7 linked regions of the Mus musculus genome follow. The protein of the gene in region 5 interacts with the protein of the main gene of each other region in a pairwise test. Links are inferred from orthologs where the notes say so. Each region holds a gene or a part of one and is shown on either strand. Other genes may lie near its edges. The genes, in order: Dixdc1, Wwc1, Gse1, Pde4dip, Cdc5l, Ppfia2 and Akap6.

The links.
Region 1: the proteins of Cdc5l (region 5) and Dixdc1 interact in a two-hybrid assay, tested with the Homo sapiens proteins (2 studies listed by BioGRID and IntAct). The link is inferred for Mus musculus from reciprocal best matches to the Homo sapiens genes CDC5L and DIXDC1.
Region 2: the proteins of Cdc5l (region 5) and Wwc1 interact in a two-hybrid assay, tested with the Homo sapiens proteins (2 studies listed by BioGRID and IntAct). The link is inferred for Mus musculus from reciprocal best matches to the Homo sapiens genes CDC5L and WWC1.
Region 3: the proteins of Cdc5l (region 5) and Gse1 interact in a two-hybrid assay, tested with the Homo sapiens proteins (2 studies listed by BioGRID and IntAct). The link is inferred for Mus musculus from reciprocal best matches to the Homo sapiens genes CDC5L and GSE1.
Region 4: the proteins of Cdc5l (region 5) and Pde4dip interact in a two-hybrid assay, tested with the Homo sapiens proteins (2 studies listed by BioGRID and IntAct). The link is inferred for Mus musculus from reciprocal best matches to the Homo sapiens genes CDC5L and PDE4DIP.
Region 6: the proteins of Cdc5l (region 5) and Ppfia2 interact in a two-hybrid assay, tested with the Homo sapiens proteins (2 studies listed by BioGRID and IntAct). The link is inferred for Mus musculus from reciprocal best matches to the Homo sapiens genes CDC5L and PPFIA2.
Region 7: the proteins of Cdc5l (region 5) and Akap6 interact in a two-hybrid assay, tested with the Homo sapiens proteins (2 studies listed by BioGRID and IntAct). The link is inferred for Mus musculus from reciprocal best matches to the Homo sapiens genes CDC5L and AKAP6.

Annotation. Positions count from the first base shown.
Region 1 is NC_000075.6:50,725,018-50,729,739, forward strand, and holds the start of Dixdc1 (dixin), read right to left. Parts: upstream 2,968-4,722; 5' UTR 2,829-2,967; coding exon 2,769-2,828; intron 1-2,768. UniProt on the Homo sapiens protein: Positive effector of the Wnt signaling pathway; activates WNT3A signaling via DVL2. Regulates JNK activation by AXIN1 and DVL2.
Region 2 is NC_000077.6:35,977,288-35,981,931, forward strand, and holds the start of Wwc1 (protein KIBRA), read right to left. Parts: upstream 3,241-4,644; 5' UTR 2,803-3,240; coding exon 2,684-2,802; intron 1-2,683. UniProt on the Homo sapiens protein: Regulator of the Hippo signaling pathway, also known as the Salvador-Warts-Hippo (SWH) pathway.
Region 3 is NC_000074.6:120,561,128-120,565,133, reverse strand, and holds part of Gse1 (genetic suppressor element 1), read right to left. Parts: intron 2,509-4,006; coding exon 2,309-2,508; intron 1-2,308.
Region 4 is NC_000069.6:97,689,262-97,693,267, forward strand, and holds the end of Pde4dip (myomegalin), read right to left. Parts: intron 3,474-4,006; coding exon 3,335-3,473; intron 3,107-3,334; coding exon 3,060-3,106; intron 1,593-3,059; coding exon 1,551-1,592; 3' UTR 567-1,550; downstream 1-566. UniProt on the Homo sapiens protein: Functions as an anchor sequestering components of the cAMP-dependent pathway to Golgi and/or centrosomes.
Region 5 is NC_000083.6:45,430,692-45,435,357, reverse strand, and holds the start of Cdc5l (cell division cycle 5-like protein), read left to right. Parts: upstream 1-1,650; 5' UTR 1,651-1,922; coding exon 1,923-1,967; intron 1,968-4,666.
Region 6 is NC_000076.6:106,833,648-106,837,653, reverse strand, and holds part of Ppfia2 (liprin-alpha-2), read right to left. Parts: intron 1,959-4,006; coding exon 1,875-1,958; intron 1,603-1,874; coding exon 1,471-1,602; intron 374-1,470; coding exon 311-373; intron 1-310. UniProt on the Homo sapiens protein: Alters PTPRF cellular localization and induces PTPRF clustering. May regulate the disassembly of focal adhesions.
Region 7 is NC_000078.6:52,887,799-52,891,804, reverse strand, and holds part of Akap6 (A-kinase anchor protein 6), read right to left. Parts: coding exon 3,742-4,006; intron 1-3,741. UniProt on the Homo sapiens protein: Binds to type II regulatory subunits of protein kinase A and anchors/targets them to the nuclear membrane or sarcoplasmic reticulum. May act as an adapter for assembling multiprotein complexes.

The sequences.
Region 1 (4,722 bases), on a different chromosome or scaffold from region 5:
TGAGAAGAGACCAGCAGTAAATAGAGGGAAGCCTTGATTCAAAGGGCAGAGCTTCTCTCTGCTGCTGCTGGCTTTCCTTATAATTAACCAATTAGGGCCATATCCCTGCTTCCTGTGGGAGTTTTCTCTGCCGTGGAGAATGAGGCTGCAGCCCTAGCCACACAGACCTATAATAAGCCATCTGGGTGATGAAGGCTAGCTTCAGATACTCTTAGAATAATCCCCAAGAGGTGGCTGAATAAATGTGTGGTATTCTTAGCCTCAGTACAAAGACTTTCTCAGAGGAATTAAGTGTTTTCTGACACTATCTTTTAAGTGCTCAGTTACAGTCTTATCATATGATGCTAACAAAAGAGATTGATTATTACTGGGTCTATTAAGCAACCTTGAGTCTGGAAGATCAAACAGGGCTCCTACCAACCTTCCCACTGACTTTACTCAGACTGTTATTCACTAGGATGGCTATATGTGATAGTATATGTGGAGGGAAATGAAGAAAATGTATTCTGTATGTGGAAAGATTTACGTTAACTAAGGGATCATTCAAATTTAACCTATTCATGATATCTGTATTATTTAGAGGCACAAAATCAAAAGTGCTGTTTTCATTTTCAGAGTTCAAATCGACTAAGGAGAAAATGTACATTGGTTTGCAGAGAGGGCAATTTATGGGATGGGTAGACAATTCCAATATCAGTGAGGCCAAGACACATTGCTGAATTGTTCTGAATGGAAGAATTGATTATAAAGTTGTCTGAGTGTTGTTTTTAGGAAGACTCCATTACCACCACAGGGGGTAAAATTACCTTCCACTCTCCTGTCCCCTTGTTTTGGAAGAAGTGAATGTTAGGCAACATTCATGTACAGAGACACAGAAATGACAGCCAGGCCGCTTTGTTCTTGTGTGGGTCTTTAGATGAAGACTTAGAGATGGAGAAGCAGCAGAAAGCACGGACGAGGACTTGGCTCTGTGCCAGCTGGTGTCAGAAGGTGGGTTCTGACACCAGTGAGCTGGGCTAAAATAGAAAAGGGGGAGAGGCCAGGAGAGGACCAAAGGAGGTTTTACCCCGACTAGTGAATGAGCAGGATTTACGCAGAGAAGGAGCAGAGAAGGCCCTGGGGCTGAGAGTGAGGGTAGATGACTGAGAATCCTGCAGACACTAGAAGAGGTGTGCTTCCTGGCTTTTCTGTGTTCACCTCTGGGTCTGTAGCTCTTTGTTAGCGATTCCCTTACATGTGTTCAGTCAAGAGTGATGGGAAGACGAGGAGGCCTGCCGGGCAGGCAGGATACAAGCTCTGCCCTTTAATGAAGGTTGTGACACCCCTCAGCCAAAGGAAAATTCCAGCACAGTTGGTCACAGTGGCAGAATGTTTCCATTAGATTTTTTTTTTTCTGTGTGTGTCAGGAATAAGGCTGGGGCACAGGGGCCAGGACTGGGGAAGGTTCTAAGGCAGGTCAGAATGTAGGATCTCCTAATTAGAAACAGGGATCAAGGGGGAAGCCTGCCGTGCAGCTGTAGAAAAAAAAAAAACCTACATGGAAATTCATGAGAATAGCTGGTTGCCTCTAGGGGAAAGGTTGGGAAGGGGGTGAGAGACGGCAAGGGCACAAAGGCTCGTCCATCTTGTCCATAATGTTAATATTTAAGAAGAGAATGGGTTTAGGATGTAGCTCAGTGATCAAGCCCCTAGTCATACTGCAAGGTCCTAGTTTCAGTCACCCCTGCACACAGGGCTGTTTATATTATCTGACTAAAAACTGATTCTAAAAACACAAGGGCTGTTGTAAAGGGTGGAGGAGTGGAGTACTGGTAAAACACCTTGGTAGCATCCCCAAGGCCCCCACCACACACACACACACACACACACACACACACACACACACACAATCTGAAATTTAAGAAACCCATAGAGAAGGGAAAGGTGAACTGAGGGAAAAGGCAGGAAGCCATGACCAATAGCTTATGCCTTTGCGGCTGCAGGCCTAAAGCAACCAAAGGATGACTGAGGAGCAAACAAGAGTAGCCTGAGTCACAAAAGAAGCAAATGGAAGAGGTAACAGAATTCTGAGAGAAACTTTTGAAGAGAAAACAGAGCCTGCTTGGGTCAATCCTGGCCCACCTTTCCTGTCAGGTTGCAGCTCCCCACCACAGTTCTCACAGAAGGGAATCACACTAATATTAGCTCCTGAAACTGGGCCTGAGGCCCAGGTTGGTCCTCTCAGCCAACCTTGTCCTCCTCAGTGGTGGAGAAATCTAATGTGCATGATTCAGGAAATTCGCACGTGGATGTGCAGGATTCAGGAAATTCACCCCTCATGTGGACCACCCACAGTCTCCTACCCTCTTTCAAACTTTCTACCAATGCCACGCCACCGCACCCCTCCCGTGACTCATCCGCTTAGCGCCTGAAATAGAGCTCTGCCGCATCTGTTCAGGGCTTCCCTCTAGGATGTCCCTGGAGAGTCCCTGGGAGGCGTGGGGACCACCTTTTCGGCAAGAAGATGCCTTCTGAGTCCGTAGTCCTGCCTGCCCTTCCCACCTCGGGAAGGTACTCAATCCCTCCAGTTTAGAGGAGGCCCACCGCCTTTCTGATGTCCTCGGGTTGATGCATCTGCACCACACCTACCTCCTTGACTCTACCACCCAGGCTCTTAAATGGGCTCCCCGGGAGGATGCCCCTCACCGCCCCCCAGGATTCCCTTCGGGAGATTAGGCGGGAGGCGCGGGGTGACCGGGAGCTGGGGGTGGGAGGAGCAGGGCAGTTACCTCATTGAAGCCCTCTTGCAGGACGTCCAGTAAGTTCCCGCGGGTCAAGCAGGCTAGCATTGTTCCTGCCGCGGGGCTTCCCGGGTGGGGTCACGCCACCGTCTCTTCCCTCTGTACACAAAGGCGATCAGCTCAGCTCCCTGGGAGCTCTCTGGAGTCCCGCATGCCACTTACTGGAAACCTAGACCCGAGCCAAACTAGCGGCTTGCACTGGGCATGCTCGCGCGCGGGCTGCAGCCGGAGGGGCCCGGCGCTGTGCTGGTTCCTATAGAAACAGCAGGGCGCGCGCTGCGCACAGGCAAGAGGCGCTAGCAGGCAGCCCCGGGTCTCCAGGGAGTGCGGGGAAGCCGTGGGCGCGCACGCAGGCTCCGCACGGGTGCTCGCAACGAGCATTCACACACGCGTGAGCACACACACACATCCGCGCTGACACAAGCGGGCTTGCCAGCCTGAGCATATGCCTGCAATCACTACACTGCACGTTTGGAGGCGGGCGTCCCCGAGCGTGTGCACGCACATACACGCACATACACACACACACACACACACACACGCACACGCACACGCACACGCACGTACACACACACACACACACACACGTATGTAGTCACTTTGCTCATTTAAGGCTGCAAGCACCTCATCACAAGGTGGGTGGGGAAAGGAGTGAGTCACAGGATTACCCCACCCACCCCTTACTCCATTCTCCAGACTAACAGCAACCTTTTTCCACGCAGGGCTTGAGAGTGAGACAACCAGCAACCTTTTCCCACTCGGGGTTGGAGAATGAAGCAATTTAAATAAGAGGAAATAGAATGACAAGAAATAACAATAAAAAGGGGCCAGAGGAGAGAGGCTGGGGCTGGGGCTCTGTAAGTAACTGTAGACTATAAGTAACTGAACAGCGCTAAACAAATCATACCATCATAATAGAAACGTCAGAGGCACACCAAGGATCTTCTATCTTTTTTACAAAATAAATGCTAAGGGGTAAGATTGGGCACGATGGCTCAGGGGATAAAGGCTCTTGTAAAAGCTTGACACCTGAGTTCAATCCTGGAGCCATGCAAAGGTGGAAAGGGAGAACTCACATCTCTCGGGCACAGGCACACATTACGCTCACCCCCCCCACACACACACTAATTAATTGGTTTTATAATAAAATAATTTCTAAGAGCCAGCATGGGGGTATACACCTATCATATGCATGCACATACACGCGCGCGTGCGCGCGCGCGCACACACACACACACACACACACACACACCAGATCAACACTCTAGAGGTTCTAAGTCCAAAGCTAGCCTGGTCTATATAGCAAGTTCCAGGTCAGCCACATATAGTTCCAGACCATATAGATGAGACCTGCTCTTGAAAGAAAGAAGGAAAGAAAGGAACACATACTTTATAAGTGAGTTTTAAAATAAAGCACCAAGAATGCCCTTGTACATTGTCAGGTAAAAGCATCCACCCTTGGGTGTAACAGAGCCTCTTTCTCGTGTGGCCTGGCTGAGGTCACAGCTCTGATGTTTATTTTTAAGAACACTAGTCATTTGCATGCTTGGACTAAGTGATCTTAAAAAAGAAAGAAAGAATGAGAGAAAGAAAGTCCATTTTACATTCCATCTTGTGATCCTAGACAAAAGGGAGAAATTACAGTGTTAAGACCCAGAGGAGATCAGAGCCTTGTCCAAGGACACAGCTGGTCAGGGACACGCAACTCAATAATCAAGGAATTACAAACCATTTTCTAGCCATCCTGTATCTCCCTCAGACTCCATTAGGACCTCAGCAAGAAAAGTCTATAATGAGCCTACTAAATCATATTTAACCCAATGGCCTCCTCCTCGGGTCACTAGGGGATAAGAAAACCCTTACTTGGGGCAGCCTGACTAGATATCTAAAGCTGCTAAACACAAAGTTCTTCTGGGGAAGAAAAAACAAACAAAGTGCCTTT
Region 2 (4,644 bases), on a different chromosome or scaffold from region 5:
AACCTCACCTAGGTTAAGCTACGAGCCCATGCCCACCTTGGCAGGGTTAAAAGGGACAACCTCTAACCAGGCATACAAGAGATTTTAAAGATGGAGAAGCTGTGCCCCCAAACTCTCAAGGCTGGCTGGCCACAAGAGTGATCTGCAGCCCTGACCCCAAGCTCGGGGCTTCATAGAAACTCAGTGCAGGCGGGATGGAGAGGCAGGCAAAAGTAAAGACTGTGCGCAGCTCCGGCAAGCACTGCTATGGCTGTGACATCTCACCAAGGCAGTCTGCTGAACGCAGAGGTTGCTGGGCCTGGCCTGGTGCAGACGGTGATTCATAGTAAGTAGTGTAGGCAACGTAGAGGTGTATCTTTTTAAAGATTCTTTTCTATTGATGGCACTAGAGATTGCTAGTTTCCCATGAGTAAAAATGATAAAAAAAAAAACATTTTTTAATGACTTGGTGTAAAGGCAAGCATTAAGCAACAGTTCAGGTAGCCAGAAAGCCACACATGTGGCACACACCTCTACAACCTGGCATATTATTACCTTCTAGTCAAATCAGTTCTTGGGAAGCTACCCACTTGCCCTCTTCCAAGGGCAACGCATGACTGGCATTTTTTGAGAAGTTTTCTATGTTGTATTATTCTCTCAGATGCTCGGTCATCATCAAGGCTGGCAAAGCAGTGCTCATCCACAAACACAGCACCTTGGCTCACACAGCACCCTGTCTCACACAGCACCCTGGGCTCACACAGCACCCTGGGCTCAGCTGCAGGGACTTATGCTGGAGGACACATAAACTTGAAGTTGTCTGTTCTAAGGGGTAACAAGTTGCCAAGCTTCCCAACACAGTTACAAAGCCCCCTGGAGTACCTCGCTCTGAGAGGCCTGGGGAGAACTAGACAAGATTAGAGGTTAAAAGGCAGAGCACAAGGACAATTTGTAAGTGGAAATAGCCAAACACTAGGAGCAAATCACATCTCTGGGTTCCAGATTTTTCTCTTACGTTTAAACACGGGGAAATAAGCTGGGTAAAGTGGTGCTCACTTTTAATCCCAACCATCTGGAGGCAGAGGCAGGTAGATCTCTGGGCCAGCCAAGGATACCCAGTAAGATCTTATCTTGAAGCAATACACAAACAAACAAGCAAGGGGAAATTGGAGTTGATAGTTGGTGAGATGGCTCGTGGGTTAAGCGGTTTGCCCCTGAGCCTGACCCCTGACTTTGATAAACGGAGGCTGTGAAGTGGAAGGAGCTACTAGACTGTAACAATTGTCCACCCACCTCCATATGCACACACACTGTCAAGCAGGCATACACACCGTTATTAAACACACACAGAGAAAGAGAGGGGGAAGAGGTGGAGTGAGGCATGTGGGAAGGAACTGGGCTTGCGTTTTCTAAAAACTTTCCAACTTTTGGGTCTCACTGTGTAGCCCTGGCTGGCCTGTCTGTCTAGCTTCTGAGTTTCCACTATCACTCCTTCCTTCCCAAGCAAACCATTCATCAGACACAAGGGGAAACTGAGGCCAAAAGATCAAAGCAGCCTGTCTAACACTCTGTAGTACTAGCGCTGAGCAGAGTAGGAACTCAAGAAACGATGAATGAATGAATGAATGAATGAACGAACGAACTCATGAGGAAGTGAACTCATTGCTTCCTACGTTTTTCTTTAACCCTCATCTTGCTATACACCCCATTCTGGATGTCTCAGATCCCCTTCATCTGAACCCCATAAAATGAAAGGCTCAAAAAATTCATCCTGGGTGGCTTTACGTGCACCAAACCCCCAAGGTCACAGACCAAGTGAAAATCTAACATTCCTAGGATACTTTGACCACACTCCTTCTTGGCAAAGGACGACTCCCCTCCTTCCTGGGCAGATGTGGGCCAGGTGTGAGTAACTGAAAGTGGGAAGGAGTCTGGGATGATAAGACTACCTGCCTCAGGAAAAGCTCATGCTACGCACACCCAGCGAGGTGCCCACCAAGGTCAGGATTGTGGAGAAGCCTCTGGCCCCAGAAGGAAGGGAGGAGAGGAGGCTAGGGCAGGCAGGGCTTTGCCAGAGGCCTCTCACCTCTATCTGCATCCTAACAGCTTCCAACTTGCTGTGAGATTCCTGGAGAACCAGTCTCCCTCTTTTGCCCTCCCCCGCGCTCCCTCCCTCCCCTCCCACCTCCGGCTTCCCCAGACTTGCTCCAAAGCTTTTCTCGGCAGCCAACGAAGCACCTGTCAAAAAAGCTGCTTTCTCTTCGCCAGAATGTCCTTCCTCCAGTAGTTTCCCAGCGACCCGTGGGCTCCCTACCACCCCTCCATGCCAGATCACCCCTCCTCAGCCAAGGGAGTTCCCAGGGAAGATTCGCTTCATCTGGTTTTGGTCTTTGCCTTCACCCTGGCCAGACGTCGCTTTCTAAATGAGCCGGGGACCCTGCTAGAGCTTAAGGTCAAAACTCTGGGCAGGTGCTACAAGGGCCTAAGTCCTCCACCTGGGACTGGCTGCCGGCAGTCTGCTTGGCGTCCGCCCCTCTCTGCAGCTCTTCAGAGCTTTGTACTCCTGTACAGCTCAAGGAGGGGTGAGGATGTAGAGGGGGCAAACTAAGACCTGTTAAGAGACACGCAGAGTCCCCCTGCACACTAAGGGCAGGTGCGGCCCAGGCGCGGTGCCGGGTCCGGGTCGGAGCACTCCGGGTCCTACCTGTCCCGCGGGTCGATCCAGCTGGTGGTGCGGTTCCTGTGATCTATGTAGTAGACCTTGCCGTCGAAGTCGCGCGCCTCCTCCCAGCCCTCCGGCAGGGGCAACTCCGGCCGGGGCATCTTCCCGAGCCTGGCCCGCGCTCCCCCATGCAGCTCGCAGCCGCCACGGGGCTCAGCGGCTCGGGCTGGCCGCTTTGGGTCCAGGCGGCCGCCGAGGCAGCATGATCGGGGAGTGGCGCCCACGGATCGGGGGCCCTAACGGGGGCCGGCCGGGGTGGCGCCTCTGTCCATGCGGCCCTGCGGCCCCAGCCCCACGCCGCCCGCCTCTCACGCTGCCATGTGCGCCCGCCGCGGCGCCCAGCCGGCCCGAGTCCGCGGCCAGCCAGCCAGGAGAGCGGCCCGAGCCGCCGCCTGCCTGCCCCTGCCGCTGCGCGCTGCGCTCCACGCCGCCGCCGCCGCCGCCGCCGCCCGCAGCCTCTGCCGGAGCCCCGCCGCGCGCCCCGAGACTTCTGCCTCCGCCAGGTGTGGCTCCGGCGGTGCAGGTAACTGCGCTGCCCCGGAAACGGGAGGCGGAGCGCCGGGCTCCAGGGTTCCCGGGTCTCCTCCCCGCGCCCAGCGCGGCGAGGGCGGGTCCTAGAGCCCGAGACGCGCCCCCTCGTGGGACAGTCCCAATCGCCGACCACCCCGTTCTGCCCCAGGAGGCTAGGCTCTCTCTACGCCAGAGTGTCCGGGCTCTTGGCGCGTGTGGCCCCAAATCTTGACACACCCTGTTTTCTGTGATTGAGAACCAGGAGTCAGGCAAGAAGTGGTTAAGTGAAAACATTCTTGCAAATCGGCGAACATAAGTTTTCCAGGATCTCTCGTCCCTTCCCCCCCAGCACTCACACCATCTGTCTTCCTCCTATTCAGTTCTCCCCGTGTTGTTTCAACCCTCCTCTCCGTAATTTGCAAATGTAGCTGGCTTTCCTTAGGGTCCCTAAAATTAGGAATGCTATGGATCTGCTTCCTAAGAGGACTTCCAGCGGGTGGCAAGGGAGGAGAAGGAAGGACATATTTTGCCAGTCATAGTGAAGTGCACCTGTCTCTCGGCTACTCAAGAGGCTGAAGAAGGATTACTTAAATCCAAAAGTTCCAGGCTGAGTCAAACTAGCAAACACGGGGGGGGGGAATAAATAAATAAATAAGGAAGGAAGGAAAGGGAGGGGGAGAGGGAGAGAGAGAGAGAGAGAGAGAGAGAGAGAGAGAGAGAGAGAGAGAGAAAGAGAGAGAAGGAAAAGAAAGAAAGAAAGAAAGAAAGAGAGAGAGAGGGAGGAAGGAAGGAAGGAAGGAAGGAAGGAAGGAAGGAAGGAAGGAAGGAAGGAAGGAAGGAAGGAGAAAAGAAAGGAGAAAAGAAAAGGCAAACCCTGAAACAAGAATAAGTAAATGTCTTGAGACATTAGCAATATTGAATTAAGGGGAAAAAGTTCCCTCTTAGGTTTGGTGTTTCCCCCAGTGCAAATGTAACTGTGCCTGAGGCAGGAAACTGGACTGGAAGAACGAAGTCCAGCGCCTTGTCTGAATCAATCCCTTAATGTGGGGAGTAACCAGTTAACTCCCTGTACTGTGTGGGGATCCCCTGTTTGATACACAAGGCGTTTTAGGGTGGGCTCCTCAAATCTAAATGCCCTGAGGACATAGGGGACGGGTGTAGCTCCTCCTCCATCCCATCAATATTATACTTCGAAGCCAGGGATCTCAGATCTCAGGGAGGTCCTCACCACCCACCCAACTGCTGGGGAGTTCTCCCTCCAGACTTCCTGTGATGGGCAAAGCCTTCACAATTATAAGTACTTCTAGTGCCCTCCTTCCCCCGTTCTGTTAGGATCAAACTCCAGGCATGCATCCTCACTGAACCAAACCAGCCAATCTGTTTTGAGTTTTTGCCTGGGAGACCTCGCTCTGCCTGGCCTTATACTATGGTTA
Region 3 (4,006 bases), on a different chromosome or scaffold from region 5:
CGTATAGGTGTGTATGGCAGGGTGCGGGTGGGGTGGGGGCACATATCCCACTCACACCAGGACAAACAAGGAGACTAGAAAAATGGCCATCAGGCTGGGCAGTGGTGGCACATGCCTTTAATCCCAGCACTACAGAGTGAGTTCTAGGACAGCCAGGCTACACAGAGAAATCCTGTCTCCAAAAAAAAAAAAAACCAAAAACCAAAAAACAAAAAACAAAAAATAGCCCCAAAGATGAAAAAAGAGAAAAAAAAGAGAAAAGAAAAAATGGTCATCAGGCCAATTGGGGGGGTGGGGGGAAGGGGGGTTTGCACACTGCTGCCCTCCTCAGGCCTGTGGCCTCTCTGACTAGAACCTGGCTAACCAGGCCATCTGTGGGGCAGGGTGCTGCCTGGGTGACAAGGACAGAAAAAGCCCCGGCATGGTGGCTGCCCCAGGGCACCCTCCTGGCAGCAGCTGTGGCAGACAAGATATGTCTGCAGAGCTGCTCCAAGACACAGCTGCATCCATGAAAGGCAGCGGCTGGGAAGGAGAGAACTCTCATTCTCCAGTGATTAGAGTGAGGTCTCCACAGCTGGTCAAGTGGGATGAGCCCGTTAGTTTCCAGACTGTTCTTCATTCATCTCTCACGCGGCTTCCACTGCCTGGTCACCCTGGAGCCACACACCCCCTTGACTTCCAACCAGTGGATGTTGCCTCCAGAGGCCCCTAGTGACTCATGGCCACACTACAGGGAGAGCGCATCCCCCGCCCTCCTGGAAAGGATTAAACTCTCTGCTGAGCTCTGAGCATCATCCACTGTGTGTGTGCTTGGCGGTGGCGGTGGCGGTGGCGGTGGCGGTCTCCCTGGTGGCGAGCAGGTCTTGTTAACCACAGCGTGAACTGCTGGAGCAGAGCCATCAGAGCCCTTCTCCGGGTTACTAAATGTTTCTGAGGCAGTAAGGATCCTCTGAGGATAGTGACAGGCTCCGGGCAGAGGAGTCACGAGGCAGAGGCACTTGGAACCTCCTAGTTCTCCAAGGGGACAATACATGAAGTGTCTTGGACCTGGGCCAGGGGCTCCAGTCAGCAGAAGCTCCGGGGCCCAAGGCAGGAACAGGAAGTGACCCTCCCACCAGCTTCTCTCTCAGGAGCAAAGCCAGTCACCAGGCAAGCTGGTTACCCAGGGAAGGGAAGCTCTATGGGGGTTTTTATCAGCTGACTCATTGTCTGAGGTCAAAGCTGCGCTCTGGCAGGAGTCCACAGACAGGAGATGGTTGGCGGTGGCAACTTCTCTGACTTCTCTTAAGCCAGGACAGGGTGGGTCTAGGCTGCTCTGAGCTGAGATTCGATGACAGGATCGCTCAGACAGGTTTCCCAGGGTTAAGTGTGACTTCAGCCACAGGAGGAATGGGCCAAGGCTGGCCCCCACGCTTCAGTCAGGAGCCTGATGGATGCTCCAAGCACTTTACTGGGGACACCAATCAGACCTGAAGGGCAGATGAAACTCACACTCTTGCCTATCCTGCCCTGCCCCAGCGGGGAGAGGTGCTCTCCTTCCCCTCCCCCTCCATCTCTGTGGTTTAATTAGTACTTCCTAGCAGTACAAACCCTCTGGGAATGGGGCTGGAGAATCCCGGGAAAGCCACAGCTGACAGCGGTTCTTAATTAGCAAGGCCCCCTCTAGGCGCCAGGCTGCCAGGCCGCCGGGAGGCCCAGCAGTACAGGGGAAGCTCTGGGGCTGGCTCCTCCACTGCAGTTAGGTTATGGCCAGCTAGAGACTGCAGACACAAGGACCCCGGTGCTGGCTGGCATCAGGGACCATCAGAGTTAGCCTACAGTCCCGCCCCTACTCCTCCAAAGCAGTCACAGCTATTGTCTAGCCAAAGATCCAAGGCACTCTATGGTTGTTGTCTGTCTCAACCTGGTGCCTCTGGGTATGTAGACCCCTAAAGAAGTGATTGCCGTCCAGGCCACCAGAGGACACAATAAGACACCACTGTGTAAAGGGGCAGGGCCTTGGCGACCCCCTCCCTCCCCAGGCTTAGGGAGGCTCTGGCCTCCTAAAGCAAGCAACGATGAATTTGTGGTACTCTGTCACAAGTCTGATGTAAGGGTTGCCTTAATCCTAGCATCTTCCAGTACCGGGTGCGTATCAAGCTCACCTAGCAGAAGAGTCTGAGGACCAGGGTGAGAGGTCAACCTCGCCCCCAACTCAAGTTCTCAACAGAGCTGTGGACAGAAAACAGCCTGCAGGAACACCCCCACATACCCCGCCTCCATCCCCATTACCCCCACCACGCCCACACCTCTGGGCGGCGCCACTCACCTGGCGGCTCTCGCTTCTCCAGACTCCATTGACGGTTTTAGTGGGGGCAATAGTGACCACTGGGGGAGTGCTGGGGACACTGTGACCCCCGGGGGGGACGATGATGGGGCCCATGGGCACTCGTTTGGGCGTGCTAGCTGGAGAGCTATGGTTGGTGGCTGGAGAGGACACTGGAGATGACTCGCTGCTCAGTGAGGACCCTGCGGAAAGAGAACGAAGCAGCTCAGGGTCCTGTGTGTGTCACACCACCACCCACCGCGCCCACGCGTCTTGCCATTCCAGAATGCTCATGGGGAGTGAGGCCCAAGAGCGGGCAGGCAGGGACGGACCCACAGCCATTCTGTGGCCTCCCTTGTCATACTGCCTCTCAGGCGTGGAGGTGGAGAGCTATTTTTACACTTAAAAAATCTGAGATGTCACTCACTCTTTTAAAACCACGTCAATGTACCTCCGGTGGATCGGCCATATTGAGTGAATGCTACTATACCCAGAACAGCCTCACGACCCCAGAAAGAAGCAATGTGTTTCCCTTGCCAACCACCCCCAGCAGCAAAAGGGAAGAGGGGCAGGTAGGTGGCGGTAGTGAGGCAGCTTAGTTCTTGGGAGTGTCGGTTCCAACAGAACTTGGTAGTGAGGGATGGTCTCTGTCACTAACATAGCCCCCTCTTTCCCGGGACAATCATGCTACCTGCGGACACATGGCACGGCCTCTTTGACTGCGGAGGCCCATGTGTAACTTGTGTAATTGTACAGCGCAGTGCCCCGAGCAGTTCCAGCCAAGCACACCTCTTGTTCACATGACTACCAGGGCCTGACCTCAGCAATCAGGCTGAAGGCTGGAGCCTAGGGAAGAATCTCTCAGGTCTCCAATGGGCACCACACCCACTGCCTACAGCCTGAGAACTCTCTAGTCTCAAGTGGGTAGCGGGCAGCAGCAAGCCCCAAGGCTGGGCAGTGTGAACCCAGCACGGTGACCGCCCAGCACCTGCCAGTCAGAAAGCACAGGAGAGCAGCTAGGCTCAGAGACACGATGGCTCGGGAGGCCAGCTTCTGGGAGCTGATGGAGGCAAGCTACCGGTTGGTGCAGCCAGACCTGGGGACTGACCAAGAACCTTGGCACGAGCGAGCTACCATTCAGGAGCCAGGGAGGGCGTGGCATTCTATACCTCCCTAGATTCAGTAGGAGGGTATCCCTCTGTGCACCTGAGAAAGCCAAGGGGCCAGAAAGCCACACCCTAGGCCTGCAATGCCCGTCACTGTATGTGTCCAAAAGTGTCAACTAAACACCCCGGAGAAAGTCCATGCGGTCTGTTGTGAATCATGCCCACAGCCTTGGGCTATACCGAGTCCCAGCCCTGCCTATTCTATACAGGAATGCCCCAACAAGGCCCTCAGCCACATTCACGAGAGGACACATGGAACAGAAAAAGCCGAGTCAAGCACACAGCGTGGGATGCAACCTCCTTGCTCAGAGACAGTACCTCAAAGGGTAGAACATAGCTCCTGGGGGGGGGGGGGGACGGACGGATGGATGGACAGAAAGGCAGGGGCCCAACTTTTCAGCCCAAGCTGGCCCAGAGCTGACAATCAGGTTGTCTCCACGCCAGGCAAAAACGCAATCACTTTCACATTATTTTTAGGAATCCTCCTATTGCCTAAAACAGCAACCTGTTCGGGTGTGCTGCGCGGTCCTTCCCA
Region 4 (4,006 bases), on a different chromosome or scaffold from region 5:
TCTCTAGTAGCAAATGGTGCTTTTCAATCAGCAGATTGTTTGGGCAACTTCAGCCAGTCTCCCTAAACTAGTCACTGCCTGCACCAAGCTGGTTTAAGCTGCAGAGAAGCATTTCTGTCAGCTGCTCTGTCTCAGTGGAGCCTGTAATTGTGAAGACTGAACTTCAGGGTTGTTGAAATGGACCACTGTTCCTTGGTTTGTAAACACGTTCCCCTCCTCACTATCAGAGATGTGTTCACACCTAACTTCCTTAAGAAGAACTGCAGTTTTTATCTCCTACTGTGGCTGTCCTATGGCCTATCTTCTTTCTGTGGGTGGTGCCTTTCCCACCAACACACACTTGTGCCTACAGTTTGGTGAGTTTTTCCTGGCTCACGACTATTTATTTCATTTTGTTGAAGTGGAATTCATGGGGGGATTAGGATTCACACTCGGGGTCTCTGGTAGACCCTCTGAGATAAGGTGCACACTGGGGGGGGGGCGCACAGATGGCAGCATGTCTTTCATATTCCATATCCTTTTTCTGGGAACTGGTACAGAAGTGAGAAGCAAAGGAAAATAATTTCTTTATACACAGTTTGCTTTAATAGCCATCAGAAAGACTGCTCAGCGTCTTCTCACCCATCAGTCTGCACATCATGTTGGCCTTCAACATATAGCCATAGCAACATATATAAATCTATATTATACATTTATACACACACCCACATCCGATGAGCACTGTGGAGACAGAGTCTTCAGTACAGAACAGACCTTGCCCATGCTATTAAAAGAGGCACTGTTGTGCTGTACGCTAGACATTCAATAGGCATGATGTGGCCACCAGTAGCCCCCAATTCCCCTAAGGGAAGTTAGGATTACAGGGGACAGCAGAGTTAAGGAAGTCGGTTCAACTTGAGATCATGTAAGAAAGGTGCTAGGCTAAGTGCGGGGCACCTAGAAGTTACCACATTCCGTTCACTGTGTAGACTCAAAGACCTCTGGTGTGGTGGTAGAGACCAACATACTACCAGGCTTGGCCCATAGGACTGGCCTGGCTCAAGAGTGGGTCTGTGAGGGGAGTTTGTTGGGTGCCAACAATGTCCGGCAGGGCAGTGCCACTCAATGGTGTGTGCTTTTACAGTTGTCTGAGGAGCGTTGGCATTGGGACCACACATCCTGTTTGTGGGCGGTGAAGTCCTAGTTCCCCTGAGTTGGCTATCTTGAGGGCAGATGGTGAGGTGAGAACTGTAACAAGGTGGGCACCGTGCTGCAGAGGCTGTCTAGAAGCAGTGCCAAGAGGGCTTCTACACAGTCTACGTGAGTTTTGCTTAGTGTTGGGCCCAGTGGGCCTTGGCTAATCATAGTCATTGCTTGCCAGGATACCACTTTCATTCCTGCCTGTCCCATGTGGACATATCTCGGTCCTTCTGTGGACCTCCAGCAGGGGAGGAGTGGACCAGGTAGTCCTCAGCAGATAGGCAGCTGCACAAGAGGTGGGCAGGCCCACCCTTCCTGCTCCTTTAAGGACCTCTGGCTCCGCCCCTTATGTGGCTCCTGGAAGGCAAGGGTCACAAGGCCGGAGTGCACGTCAGAGCCCTGAAGGATTTCATCTGCAGACAAGAAGAAAACAAACCTGGTCAGCATGAGTGTCCAGGCCCCGCTGGAGGCTGGAGTGAGGGGCACACGTTGCTGGAAGCTAGGAGCCTGATTAGGAGGGTAAGCAAGCACAGCGAGTAGGGGTGGGAGTGCTGGCCTGGAGAAGCCCTTGAAGCCCAGATTAGATGGAAGCCTTTCCCACTCCTGGACTCTTGCGGCTTAGACCTCTGTACACTGAGTGGCCAGACCCTGCCCAGCTCCCTGCAGGAGCCAGGTCATGTTCCAAACCAAGTAGTCCGAAGCAAATAAGCAAAAAGAAACCAAGAGGGTCTTTTATATCTCCCAAGAAAGAAGTGCTGAGCAAGAGAGGAGCCTGTGCAGGAGGAGAGCCGCTCAAGTCCTCCTGGTAAATGCATGTCCCAGTTATCTGAGAAGGGGTGGAGCCAGCAGGGCCCCCGAAGGTGAGCTGAGCTGAGATCTACCATGACAGACTTGGACAGCAGAATCACAGAGATGAAGGGGCCAGCCAAAGCCACACAGGCAGTTAGTGACAGGCCCAGTGCTGAGAGCCTTCCCAGGGGCCTAAGGAAACAGAGAGGAAAGCGTCCGCAGGCTGGGCCAGTGTCGCAAAGACTGCTGGGTTACCTTTGCTGGGACAGGAATATGGCTGCACAGCGGCAATCTCCTAAGTGCTGTGTTACAGAGGCTCGGGAAAGAAAGGAGTCGTCAGAGAATGAAGGGAAATTAGACCAAGACAAAAGAGTGTCCTACATTACAGCCCAGCCCCCTGTCCTTTCTGCATGGGCCTTAGCACTGCGGCAGATGCGATTAGGAAGTGTCTGAGGAGAGGCTCAGCTGCGCTGGCAGTGGCAAGTCTACCCTCAGAGGATAGTTTCTGATCCTTACGCCACATCATCTGCACCAAGTCTTTTCTCACACTGCTGCCAGGGAAAGAGGCCAGCCACACTTAGCATTTGTGATAATCATAGAGAACCAGCCAGAGATTGGCTATCTTCCCCCTCAAGAGGCAGTGTTCATTTTCAGGTTTCCTTCTGCATCAGTGAGCCAAGATAAGGATTGTTTGGATCCTTACAGACAAGGATGCTTCCCACCTCACAGTGTAGCGAGGGCCGTCTATAAGGCTCTCCTCTGCCTTCTTGTCTATGGAGCCCCTGAGGAAACGTGAGTGCACAGCAGGTCTCACAGGCAGACCCCAAGTGCCTCTGCCCTCCAGAGGAGGCAACTGCACTCCATTTCCTGGCCTACCCATCCCACATAAAGGACAGAAAACTAGAGAGAAAGGGAGAGAGGACACAAGATGAGGGCAAGCAGAGAGGGCAGGAGAGGGAGGCGGGACTTGCTGAGGGACCACACCCTACACCGAACCAGAAACCTTTTAGAATGTCAGCTAGCCAGGGGCATCAGACAGGATGAGAGTGGTGGGCAGGCTCTGTGGCTCAGAGCTACAGTATTGTCCTTACCTCTAAATTAGTCCGCGCTTTCTTCAAGACATCATGGGTCCTAGTCACTGGAAACATAAAACAGCCCCACAGACGTGCAAATTACCAGCTGAGCCTGGCTTGCTGGGCACATGCACTACCTAAAGCAGGGTCTCAGCTACTGGGTGTGGCCTGTTGCTAGCCACTCCCCCTCTATCCCCACCCTTACTTCTCAGTCCCTCCAGTCCCTCTAGTCACTGTTCATCTGCTGCAAGACTGAGTGTCAGGAAGAGCCCCCCACCTCCAGGGACACCTACAATGGCTCACGATGAATTGTTCCATGCTTTTCTTCCTCTGGTTGGCCCTCTTCAGACGTGCAGCAGTGTTCTGAAGGATCTGTTCCTGTTGGGATACTTGGGCTCGCAGGTCCAAGAGTTCTTTCTCCATCAGTTGTCCCTGAAGAAGAGGGACAGATTCAGACAACAGTCACCAGGCTGAACACACCCTGGACTTGGCAGCAAAGTGCTGCCATCTCCCAACCTTTAGTATTGAATTCCTGTCATTAAAACTTCCCTAGTAGGCTAGAGAGGTGACTCAGGGGGTCAAGAGCACTGACTGCTCTTCCAGAGGTCCTGAGTTCAATTCCCAGCAACCACATGGTGGCTCACAACCATCTGTAATGGGATCCCTGTTCTGGTGTGTGTGAAGACGGTGACAGTGTCCTCATATAAATAAAATAAAGAAATCTTAAAACAAACAAACAAACAAACAAACAAACTCCCCTAATGCCAGCAGGAGACAGCTGAGGACCAGGCCACCAGACAGAAATGGGGAGGGAAACTGAAGCCTGCTGGGGAGAACCCTGTTCTAGGCCAACACCAAATCTCAACCGCAAGCCAGAGCTCTGTTTAGTCTGGTAGAAAATCCTCAATTCCTTGTCATGAGTGACTTAGGAGTTCAGGGATGTTATATCTGAAGAGGTGGGACTG
Region 5 (4,666 bases):
TGGCACTTGGAGGACTAATTCACATAATAAAAGGGGCAATATTGGAGCATCTGACTTGAATCCACACCACAGACAAGGATAGATCTCAATAGGTTGATGAAGTATGTTCTGTTGTCAAAATACCAATCCTTTGTAACAATTTTCTAGCAGGTGACATTAACATGTTTTAAGGAAGAGATACCTTTTTTAAAGTTAGCATAAAGATGACAGAATGTTGAGTGGAAGAAGTCACTGTCATGATCCTTTGGAATAGCCTATGTGAAAGAGGACTGGTTCAACTGTGGATTTATTAGGCCTCTCGATTACAAATAATGGAAAGCTAACTTCAATGACTAAATCCAAAAGGGGGATATGGAAGTAGTTACGACTTGGGAATGTTCTAGATCCAGGGACCATGTAGTTCAAAATACAATTGTTAGGTGCCACACAATTGGTAGGTTAGAGGCTTATCAGCTAGCAGAAACACTGACCTCTTTTGGATCCTAGCGTTAAGATCCCCAGAGAGGAGTGTTCAGATTTGCTTTGATCTGGTCAACCAAATGGTGTGTGACCTGGGTGTGTGGGATAAAAACCATACAACTAAGTGATGTTGGCAGGAGGTAATGGTTACACATCTTTACAAGAGAGCATTGCAAAGAGTACCAGAGGCAGAAAATGGCTTGTTAACCTGTCATCCTGTCAGATGACAGGAGTGAAATGAGATTGTAGGTCACTAAACCCAAGTGTTCTTCATAACACTACACTACCTCCCTCTCAACTGAAAGCAGTGATATTTTGATACAATTTCCTATTTCAAGGAAAAAAATCGTAACAAAAATCGAATCGGAAAATCCGTCATGTCTTCTAGAAGGGGCAAACGGAAGCATGAACAGTGACAACAAACCAGAGCCGCTATGCACGGAATAAAATCTTTCCCTAGGGACCTGGGGTGACACCAAGTAATTAATTGCTCTGGAATAGTGGAGAAATCTGCGTGGGAAAAGAGAGAGGAGATGGCAGAGAGTCTGACAATTTCCACTTCACCGAGACTTTGTGGACTCGCAGCCGCCCTCTGATTTGATGAACAAGTTGTTTGTTCCACTCTTCAGAGGACGACCCCGGATTCCAGGGGCGAGACTCCCGCAACTCACCGAGTTTGTTCCACAGACACCCAACAGCGAGGGATGAGGGAAAGCGGCTGACGTGACGCTTCCCAAGGGTCCCTAGGGCGTCGCCTCGAACCCCTTGTGGCTCTTCCAGGAAGGAGAGCGAACACTTTGGGGCGAGCAGTCGCTCAGTCCCTCAGGTTAGAGTTAGGATCTTGAGTCCGTCCGGCATCCTCGGCGCTTGGCGCTGCGAGTTGGAGCTCCTAGAAAGAGAACGGACTCGTTTGCATCTCCCCGAGGACTCAGCGAAGTCCTCGTCGGTCGCCGGGATGCCCAGCGCAGCGCTCCGTTAAACAAACAGACAAACAAACAAGCAAACAAACAAACAAACAGCGCTCCCTGGGGACCAAGCGTGCTGAGGAACGCCACACCCCTCACATTTATTCCCCACCCCCGGCACTGCCCTCCGCGTGACGTCAGGACCAATCCCTTCACTGCGTTCCCGGTCAAGTTCCAACTCTGGCATCTCGCGAGAGTTTTGTTTTCCTTCACCCTAGTCTCGGACCTGCGCGCGACACGTCGGGCGCCTTGGCACCTGCGGTTTGATTAGTCTCCATCAGTCTTAAGGTTGCAGCCTGGCCGCCCGCGTCTTTTGCCTTCGGCCGCTAAGATCTCGCGAGATTTCCCGGGGCTGCCCACGCCGCGCCTGCGCAGAGCTCTTCAAAGCAGAAGGTCGCTCTTGGGAGGAAGTGGCCTTTTGCGTCCCGTGCCCGGAGCGCCGTTACTACTTTCTCGAAGCTCTCCTCGGCTCCCTTGCCGGGACACTCTGCCGCTAAGATGCCCCGGATTATGATCAAAGGGGGAGTGTGGAGGAACACGGAGGTGAGGCAGCTTTTCCCGCCGTCCGCAGCCCTCCGCCGGCTCTGGTAGCGTGTGCGCACGCGCGGGGAAGCTCCGGGAGCCGTGGCTGTCCCGCGGGGGTCTGCGGTGCGGGGCGGCGACTGCGCGGACCCCGGGGACCCTCGCGGTGCATGGGTGCGGGCTCGGGTCACCTGGCTCACCCCGGGGGCGAGGTCGCGACTTGTCGCCCGGCGCTCCTCGCTTGGCATTTGCTAGGCCCTTGATCACTTATTTGATCAGTTAGGGACGCGCCCCCTCGGTGTCTTCTGCAGCCCGGTGGCCGCCGACCGGACCTCCCCCGGAGCCTGGTGTTTCTCCAGCTCCTTTCGATCTCAGCTCGTGCACAGCGCTTCGCTCTGTTAGAAGCCGTTGTGGCTGCAACTTTGTTTTTTCCGTGACTTCTTTACAGCCGGACAGGCTGCCCGTTTACGTCTGCACCTCTCTGCTTATCTTAGGACCTGGGTCCTTTCTCTTACCTTTCCAGTCACGCCACCCTTGCCGGGATAGAAGCCAGTTAGGACAAACTTACCTACGGTGGTGTTTGCGTCCAGAAATGTTGTAGATTATGTCACGGTGAGCGGAACAGCAGAAGGAAGGAAGTAAAATAGAAATTAAGTTAACGTGCATTTAATCGAGTGCGCCGAATGTATGAGCACCTTTCCGTCTGTCTTGTGCGTTCTTGAGATAGCTCCTTATTGCTTTGGCATCTTTCTGAACATGCTCCAAACTTAGCTGAGAACACTTCTTAGAGTCCTCCTGGCCCATTCGTTGGTCGTCCCGTTGAGAGTTAGTTGTTTAGTGGTTTGGTGGCACCTATTTTTCATTTACTACAGCTTTGTTTTCACAAGCACTTTTGTGTGGCTCCGGCTGAGTTACTTCTGAGAGCCTCAGATTACTCATTTTTATAAGACAAATAAATAATTGTATTTAAGCTCTTGAAACGAGTTGCCAGTTTGGAACATTGTGAACGCAGCTGGGTACATTAGTAGGCTTTCAGTAAAAAAAATGAGTTGCTGTTGTCTTCATCAGACAGCAGTATAGTAGGACCAGGCTTTGGCATTCTAGTATGAAGCAGGTTTCTTGGTGATGTTTGGGAATGAATCTTGTAGGATAGGTACCTGTTGTATGTATTTGGTTGAAGATGCGTTGAAGTTTTGAAAAACTTTACCAAAGTTACAAATGGAGGCACTGAAAAGGGACTTGCATGCACTAAGACAATTTAAACTAGAAGAGTTGGCTTCTGAGGAAGAAGCAGAGTCACAAAATCAAGTAACATCAGGATTCCTCTATAATGGCCAAAACCCAGCAGAGTGTGTGTGTGTGTCTGTGTGTCGATGTCTGTCTGTCTGAGATAGGGTCTTATGTAGCTTAGATTGACTTTGAACTTGCTATGTAGATGAGAGTGACCCTTAACATCTGATCCTCCTGCTTCTACCTCTCCTGTTCTGGCATAAGAGGTGTGTACTGTCATGTGTAAAGTCTTATGGGAATCTAATCCAGGACTTAAAGTATGCTAGGTGGGTATGCTACCAGTTAGCAGTGGGAGAGAAGATGGAGTGGAGGGTTTTATGTAGAAGACAGGCAATTCAAGTTCATTGTAGAAAAAGCCTAAAAGTAAAGTGCTCAAGTGCATTCATCTATGACTCTTAGGTCTGTGAGCTCGCGTGGCAGGATGTCTGGGGATTGGGCTATACTTTGGGTACTCTGGTGAAATGGTTTTTAGAGATTGGAGTAGGTAGACAGGGCGCTGACTGATGAGGTAGAGGAGCTGTGGATCCTGGGCTGTTGTGAGTAGGATGCCTGCCAGAGAGGAACTGTGTTGAACCAGAGTCTCAAGTTTCTTCTTTGATTCTCTCTCCAGAAGTATAGAAGACCTGCTTCAAGGTAGATAGTCAGGAAATTTTTTGTTCTTGTTTTGAGAAAATATATAAATGTATGTGAACTTTGTGAGGAGAATGGCAGGTACATGCCAGTGAATAATTTTGTCTGTCATAAAGTAGTGTTTTTAACATTGACTTTTTCCACCTCCAGTTTGTTGAGGGCCAGGTAAGATGTCCTTTTTTTCTGTTTTTTTTTTTTTTTTTTTTTTTTCTGTGGCTGGTGAGCCAGCAGTTAAGAGCACTGACTGTTCTTCTGAAGGTCCTGAGTTAATATCTCAGCCAACCACATGATGGCTCAAAACCACCTGTAATGAGATCTGATGTCCTCTTCTGGTGTGTCTGAAGACAGCTACAGTATACTTATGTTTAATAATAAATAAATCTTTGGGCAGTAGCGAGTAGGGGCCTGAGTGAGCAGAGGTCCTGAGTTCAGTTCCCAGCAACCATATGATGGCTCACAACCATCTACAGCTACAGTGTATTCATATACGTAAAATAAATAAATAAATAAATAAATCCTTTTTTTATTACATATTTTCTTTATTTACATTTCAAATGCTATCCCAAAAGTTCCCTATACCCTCCCTCCCACCCTGCTCCCCTACCCACCCACTCCCATTTCTTGGCCCTGGCATTCCCCTGTACTGGGGCATATAAAGTTTGCAAGACCAAACTGGGTCTCTCTTCCCAATGATGGCCAACTAGGCCATTGCCGCAGACCCTCTGGGCCCCTTTGTCTGTGTGGAACGGGTCTCCAGTCTCGGGTGGGCAAAGCGTCGTATGGAATGACAGACAGATGCA
Region 6 (4,006 bases), on a different chromosome or scaffold from region 5:
TAACCCAACTAAATATAACAGTATTTTTTTTTCAGAAATAACTTCCATAACTTCACAAACTGTAGTGAATATATAGTAATAAATATGATCCAAAACAAGATATTGATAGTGATTTTAAGCTAACATGGATTGTTTTCAGAGTACTGGTTTGCAATGTGTTCAATGACAAAAGCTTTTCAGTATCTACATAAATATAAACTATGCTAAAATGAGTGAAAACTGATTTAAAATCCAACACAAAACTGTTTCTATTGCATTTATTTTATAATATATTCATGAATGTGAATAAAAATATGTGTTTCCATGATACCTTATCATGTAAGGACTCTTCAAGATTTTTTCTGAAGTTTTCTGATTCTTGAATCAAAACATTCTATGGAAAAGATAAAAGAAAGAAACAATATGCTGAAAATATTTAAATATGTACATGAATACTCTAACACTCAAAACCTTTATGATTCCTTCCCTGATAAATATATTTCCTGGTTTCTATGGAAACCAAGTTCTATTGAAGTTTTTAAAAGTAATAGTGAACCTTTTGCAAAATAAATTATTTAAACAAGAAATGCTACTTTGCTACACTTGAATAGACAGACAACATACATATTACCCTATGAGCTATTACTCTGATTCTTCACAGACTTTATTGTAGACAAGAATTAATCTATTCAATTATTACCCAACTATTCATAGTATGCTTCGACTTCCTAATGTGTCAAAAAAATCAAAGTTGGCTAACATTGTGTTAAAACATTTTGCTTGACTATATGAACATGGAAAATGCCTCAAGAACAGAGTGAGTGAAATTCTGTTTAGGTTTCTGAAATAATTTGTGCTTCTGAGGTTTTAGTGTTTATGTCTCTGTCTTATTTTGAGTTTGGTCACCATCTCTAACAATTCTGATTATTGTGATAGTTTCTAGTTATTAACATGACAAGCATGATTTTTGCATCAATTTTCAGGCTGAACTTAAGCACATTTCTTGAAACAATGCAGTTACAAATAGAGGGCTTAAAAGCCTCTATCTATTACAATATTACTCTTCTACCTGACATAGCCTCTCATGCCTTGGCTTGCAGTGTTGGTGGTTATTAGGCAGATTAAGCACACAATAATTTCAAATAAACACACACTCAATATTTATTTATGTCCTCCTCTATATTTAACAAACAATGAGAAGATAGGTGAAAATTTCATCATGTATTCTGGCATGTTTTCATACATGTGTTTCTTATAAACATACTAATATGTAGTATTTATTATGTGCCATCTGATAATTTGTTCAATAAATGATGTTATAGCATTTTGTTGAAGTTAGTAACTCACTAAGACTGTATTGAGGATCTTTTAGGCTAAGGAAAGCAGGTTGATTGCCTGATGCAAACAATGAGTACAGCTGGCTAGGAGCAGTTACAACCTAGACAATAGAGCAAAGCATCCATGTGATGCTCTTCCTGTGTGAGACTGTACCTTCTCTTCCAAAGCAGCCATCCTTTCCTTCAGGTGTAGTTGCAGGCGCTCATTGGATTCTGTCAGAAGCCTGTCCACCGTATCCGATAATCTCTTATTATGCTCTTCATTCATTTTCTCCCTTTGTCTAGCCTTATAGTTAAGGAAAAGAGAAAAAAATATATATTCGGCACAGTAAAATAAAACTCATTGCTCTTCAAGCTTAATTTTATAGTTTTGTGGGTTTTATGCTGAATGTAATTTTATGCATGTTTTTGGTTAAAGTTGTAGAAACTATTTTCTTTCAAATGCCTAGATCATAGGCAAATGATGTCAGCACAGCTTCTAGCAGGGGATGTTTTCCTCTTATATGCAGTCTGTAAATTTAAAAACACTAATGATAGATGGGAAAGCTTCATGCATACTCTTTGAAGTTCTTGATTCTTCTCTTCAAGTTGGCCCTCGAGGTGTCTCATACGTTCTTCAATATTTCCATGCCTCTCTTCAGCCTGTTAAGGAATACAAAGATTGGACCCAAAATGTAAAATGAGTTAATGCCTCCCATCCAAACAAACTGAAATAAAATGTAAAGCAAGCTACTGCCAACTGCAAACTTAGTTTCCAAACATAAACTTTCTTTAAACAGGCAGCTGAACAGCATCGCTTGAAATGTGTCAGCTAACAAGGGCCTGTTCCATCCAAGCATCAGCAGAACACTGGACTTATTTATGAGCAATGGAGTCAGCCAAATGTAACATGCAGAGTGTGCATGGCTTGAACACAAACCTGCCATTGTCCAATCTTAAGCTCCTGAAGCACTGAACTGCACAGATGGTCGATTATCAATAAATAAAAGTAACATAATCTTTTATAGAAATGAAAAGAAAAAAAACTTAGATGGATTCTATTCAGCAATAGAAAGTAAAGTCCACTAGGACTACCTTCCTACGTATGGAGATCATTTCCTGTAGTTTAGCTTCCATAACATATTGATAATCATCAGATGAGGTAGAAGAGGTTGGATCAGACTAACAAGTCAAGGAAAAGGAGAAGGACAAAATTGAAAAAAATCAGAACTAAAGACACTGACACCAAACAGAACATAGTACAGAATGCTTAAAATAAAAGTGACGGCAAATTCAATACTTTAATACACTATTCTGGTATCTGGTGAAGATAATGCAGTTGATGGTTATAAATGGAAGACAATGATATGCTCACATCAAAAGCTGTGAACCTGAGGTATGAAGGGTTAGTGACAGCTGGCAGTAATGGACTTTTACCGGGTGAGTTAAAGCAACTCTAGAAATGACATGTAATAACTGGAATTATGAGAAACCAAACACTAGAATATCTCTGATAGATACTTAAGAACATCTTAGTTTTGTTTTATCATGTACTTAGGAAAAGAAACCTGATGCAAATATTACATCTCAACTGCATTTCCTTATGACTCAGGAGTGCCATATTTGTATCAGGATTATAGAAGACCTGGTATGTAGAAATTAGAGATAGCACTAAGCCAACGGTATATATTATTATGAATATTCTTTAATTCAAATTGAATTGAGTTTCATCTGCAACAGAGCTGCATATAAAAGATGACTGCTGTACACAATGTGCATTGCTCTAGGATACAATGATCCCATCCTTAAGTGTAATTTAAAAAAAACAAATAAATGAAAATATTAAAACTTCTCTACTTATTATGCAATGATAATGTCATAAGGACAAGAAACTTTGTGAATGCTCAAAAACAATGTGACAAGAAGGACCACACCAAGGTGCATCTGCAATAATTTGTTGCTATGGAAACAAAATAGTTCCCTAGGGTGAAAAGGATGCACAGACTCTTTGTCTGAGGTTAGTTACATATCTTGCTGTCAGGAAACCACAGGTGTAGAGTGTCAACACATGGGACATTGCTATAGCTGAATTGTATTAGCATGTTATGCACAAACGCAACATTGAATCAACATTTTAATTTATAATTACACATTAAATAATTATGACACCAAAACAGTCTTATGTCAGGAATACAATTTTAACTCTAAAACATATCCTTTGACATGATATTAGCTCATGCTGAAATAGTAAAGAGGACTATATGCAAACAGTTCATACAGTATCTGAAAAGAAATAGTGACCAGTGACCATGCATTTGTGCTACTTTATACAACAAATTCTAACTTACTCTAAGGAATAACATTTAACATTTCAAATTTGTTATATTAAATTATAATTTCCTGTCTCATAGATTTATTTTATAAACACTGTGTGAGTGCTGGGAACTGACTGAGCCCAGGTCTTCTGTAAGAACTTTCTCCTTTCCAACTTGTTTTATGCCATCTAATATTTGCAAGTCATATTTTTAAAAGAGTGCAGCGACTTGGCAAAGCAGTTGTGTGAATTATGCGATTTAAGTTTGTAATTTGTAATTGAAGCTATATAGTTTATAGTCATTTAAGTTATTAAAACTAAATAAGAGATTGATCAAAAAAGTGGTGTGAATATTTGAACTTTTATAAGTTAGTCTTCAAAAGTACATGTTTTTTAA
Region 7 (4,006 bases), on a different chromosome or scaffold from region 5:
CCCATTGATGGCCGCTTAGGCCATCCTCTGCTACATATGCAACTAGAGGCACAGCTCTGGGTGGGGGGGGGGGAGTACTGGTTAGTTCATATTTTTGATCCTCCTATAGGGTTGCCGACCCCTTTAGCTCCTTGGGTATTTTCTCTAGCTCCTTCATTAGGGACCCTGTGTTCCATCCAATGGATGACTGTGAGCATCCACTTCTGTATTTGCCAGGCACTGGCATAGCCTCACAAGAGACAGCTATATCAGGGTCCTGTGGGACAGGTCTTCTATAGGGTTGTTATATAAATTACATGAGAGGACCTACTGCAGAATCTGGCATTTAATATATGCTACTCAGAAATGAGTTTCCCTGTTTCCTCCTCAATCAAGAGCAGAAGCCAGGAACTTGGCTCCCCCGTCAGCCAGACAGGAAGTACTTCATTCTTTGCAGGCTACATATTTTCTGTCATAACTCTTCAAGTCTATCATCACAAAGCAGAAACATCCACAGGGGGAAAAAAGCATGACTGTGTTCCGATAATAGATTACTTTACAAACAGACTAGGCATGTAACTGAGTGGTGGGGTGTTAGCTTGCTATGTAAGAGGCCCTGGGTTCGACTGCTCAGCCTAGCCTAGCATGTAAGAGCTCCTGGGTTTAATTGCTCGGTAATTCTAAGAAGAAATAGAACAAAATAAAGTTAGCCAACAAACAGAGCAGCACTAGGAATACACGGGCTCAGGCTAGACTTGCCTTTTGTGATATAGCTCGTGCACTCATGTAAGGTATGGGTCCAGACACCACGTCACTTTTTTTTTTTTTTGGTTTTTCGAGACAGGGTTTCTCTGTATAGCCCTGGCTGTCCTGGAACTCGCTTTGTAGACCAGGCTGGCCTCGAACTCAGAAATCTGCCTGCCTCTGCCTCCCGAGTGCTGGGATTAAAGGCATGCGCCATCACGCCCGGCCACCATGTCACTTTTTAACCTAGGTTAAAGTCCATTTGCTTTAGGCACTCCCTTCTCTAACTCTCCTCATTATTTTTATTCCATTTCATGTGTTTATCAGAAAAAAATAAACTGCTTCAGTGACTTGATTTAATTGTTTCCTCTTAACTTTATGTTGAAAGTTCATGGTGCAGAGTCATGGGCACTCTAACCTGAAATCCTCCATCAATTTACCTATACCATAAATTCTTGGTAAGTCATAGAGAGTTAATAAACCCCTCCCCCCAAACATCCTAGAGACGTCAAGAAATAATAATAATAACAAACAGAAAGGAGCTTCTATTTATGAAGGACGGGTTGCAACTTGACTCTTGGTTTTTAAAATATTACCTAACAAAAATGTCTGCTCTTGCTTACAAATGAATAAGAACTTGTTAAAAGACATAAGCCTGTAAGTAACAACAGGTACCTGAGGTCCGAACCCAAGACAGGGTCCAGAGGTGGAGGGAGAGCTAATGGATAATAAAGTTCCTAAACTATGTAAATATGCTGTCTATTAAAAGGATGGGTTTCCAAATGGGGTGGAGGTGGGGGCGGGGAGCCCATGAGGCCTCAACCCTACACAAAGAGCTACAGGCAGCTGAGTAATACTGGGGGTGGAAGCTCCTCCGGGAGGATGAGCAGACCAAGTAGTTGCCCAGTACCAGTCAGTCCTGCAAGCATTGATACAAGAAACAATACATGGACTCAATCAATGGGTTATATTTAGGAATATATATGTATACACACACACACATATGCGCGCATGCAAAAAAGAGGCCATTGATTTGAAGGAGAGTGGGAAGAGGTTTTCTGGGAGGGTTTGGAGGGAATCACAGAAAGGGAGAAGTGTAATTAAGTTATAATCTCAAAAAATAAACAAAAACGGGTTTCAAAGGAGCAAAAATAAAAGTACACTACAAAGAAATCCTTCCTATCAATATCAGTGTAAAGACACAAAGGTGAGTGACAGGGCATCTGAGGATTCTTGGGAGCTGAGATGCTGGGTACCATATGCAGGTATTGTCCTGGGGAGTTCCATCACGGTCTACTAGTCCTTCCTGTGAACCAGCCATTAGCATGTCGTCTATCTTCTGCTTTGTGAGGTTCAGAGGGACCAGAGGGAACACCAGGGAGTGACAATGGGAAAACGGCCTCAGAGCCCTTGGTGGCCGAGCAAGGCCTAGACTCCTTTGCTTGATTGCATTCCCTCTTTGACACTACCCCACTTCCTGCTCTGCTTCACAGAAGCCCCTAAAATTGACTCCACACTGGTTCTCACCAAGGCCGCCATAGTTTCTCTAGCCAGTCCGGGAGCCGTGGTGCACACTGCTCAGGTAAGGCTGGCTCTGCATTCAAGTCCTGACTTTGGACTTACAGCTCTGAGAATTTGATCAAGTCAGCGGTGTTATCTCCAGAGATTACCTGGTGTCTCTCAGCCTCTGTCTCCTCATCTATATTTTTATCCCCAATTAATTAACCCCATTTGAAATTAATGCCAGGATTGTGGTGAGGACCAGATACCTAAATACTTGATGTATGGTGACAATTATTTGAAACATAACTATTATATATTTATGCTAATTTTATTTTTATAGACTTGACTTTTCATTTAAAAAGGTTATTCTGTCCATATGCACTGTACTGTAGCAGTGCCTAGTCTGATAATGTTCATCAATGAACATATAAAAGACAAGAGAAGTACCTGGGCAGACCCAGGGTTACAGTGATATTCTCTACCAAATCTTGTTTTCCTCTCCCATTAAAATTTCCCTGCAGGAGAAATCTTTCTAACACTGCAACAGTAAAAATGATGAAGAATCAAAAGACACAGATTTGCATCTTAGCTTTCCAAGCAAAAGTATCATCCAGTTGATATGTCTGTCAACCTAGTTAGTTAGCTTATAAAACTAACTTAGGCTTACCAAACCTCTGTTTCTATCAGTATAGAAGAATAATTCATTTTGTAGATAACCTCCTTGCATAGTGGCAGAATTAGGCTTAAACGTGCATCTGGAAGATTTTTATACATAGTAAAGAGCTATACACATTATGCAAGGTATGGACAATTTTATTCCAATGGAAAGAAATAATGATAAAATTATCTAGACCTATTTCCAACAGAGTTCTAGAGAAAGTCAATCTTTGTCTAGATGCCTCTTGGAGAATAAAACCATAAGCTATATTATGGAGTCCTGATGTCTGTCTTCAAAGGTCCTATCACATCCAATAATTCCTTCCAAAAGTACAGATTTGCCCCAAATCAAATCTCTTCTCCCAAAATCCCCCACGTAGTGCATGTGAGAGATGGTTTAGAAATAAGCCACAGGTCCCCAAAAGGAAGAGGAGGGGAGAAAACAGGGATGGTTAGTAAGTTGGACATGAGTGGTCTTTCCAACAGAAGGTGCTAGAGAGCGAGAGTCACTCTAGGGCTAAGGAAGGAGATTTAGAGGTGTGGAAGGTCACTGTGATGCCCCACTGGGTGTCTGCATTGGATGCGCATCCCATGTGTGTGCCGTGACTGCTGTAAGCTGTTTCCCAGCAACCGCCCGTTTGTCAGGTACCCTGTTCAGCTTGAGTAGGATCAACAGAATTCTACAGCAGTCAAGGCTCCTGGGATGGATAGAATTGTTTTTCCATCTCTTCCTTTGAAGAATTTAAAGTTTAATTGAAAACTTAACATATTTGATAAAGAATGGGAAGGAGGTGACTACTTCCCTGGAATTATTTTTAAAACCCAGACAAGAAATCACTAGGTTAAAACTAACCTTACCTCAATTCTTTCCCAGATGGCTTCATAGTTATCTTGGTGCTGAATATCTTTCATTAGTTTCTGAATTAAGGCTGATTTTGTAGCAGAATGGCTCTCATTCTTCTCAGAGGATGAAGGTCTCTCTGATTTCTCATCAGTGAACTTTTTCATGCCGGAGAGGGGCATACATAAGTCCTCATCAGAAAGAATGTCACTCAGGGGCCCAGATTCAATGCTCTCCCCGAGAGATGAGGCTATGTCGCTGGATGAGCTCGGAGAGACGGTG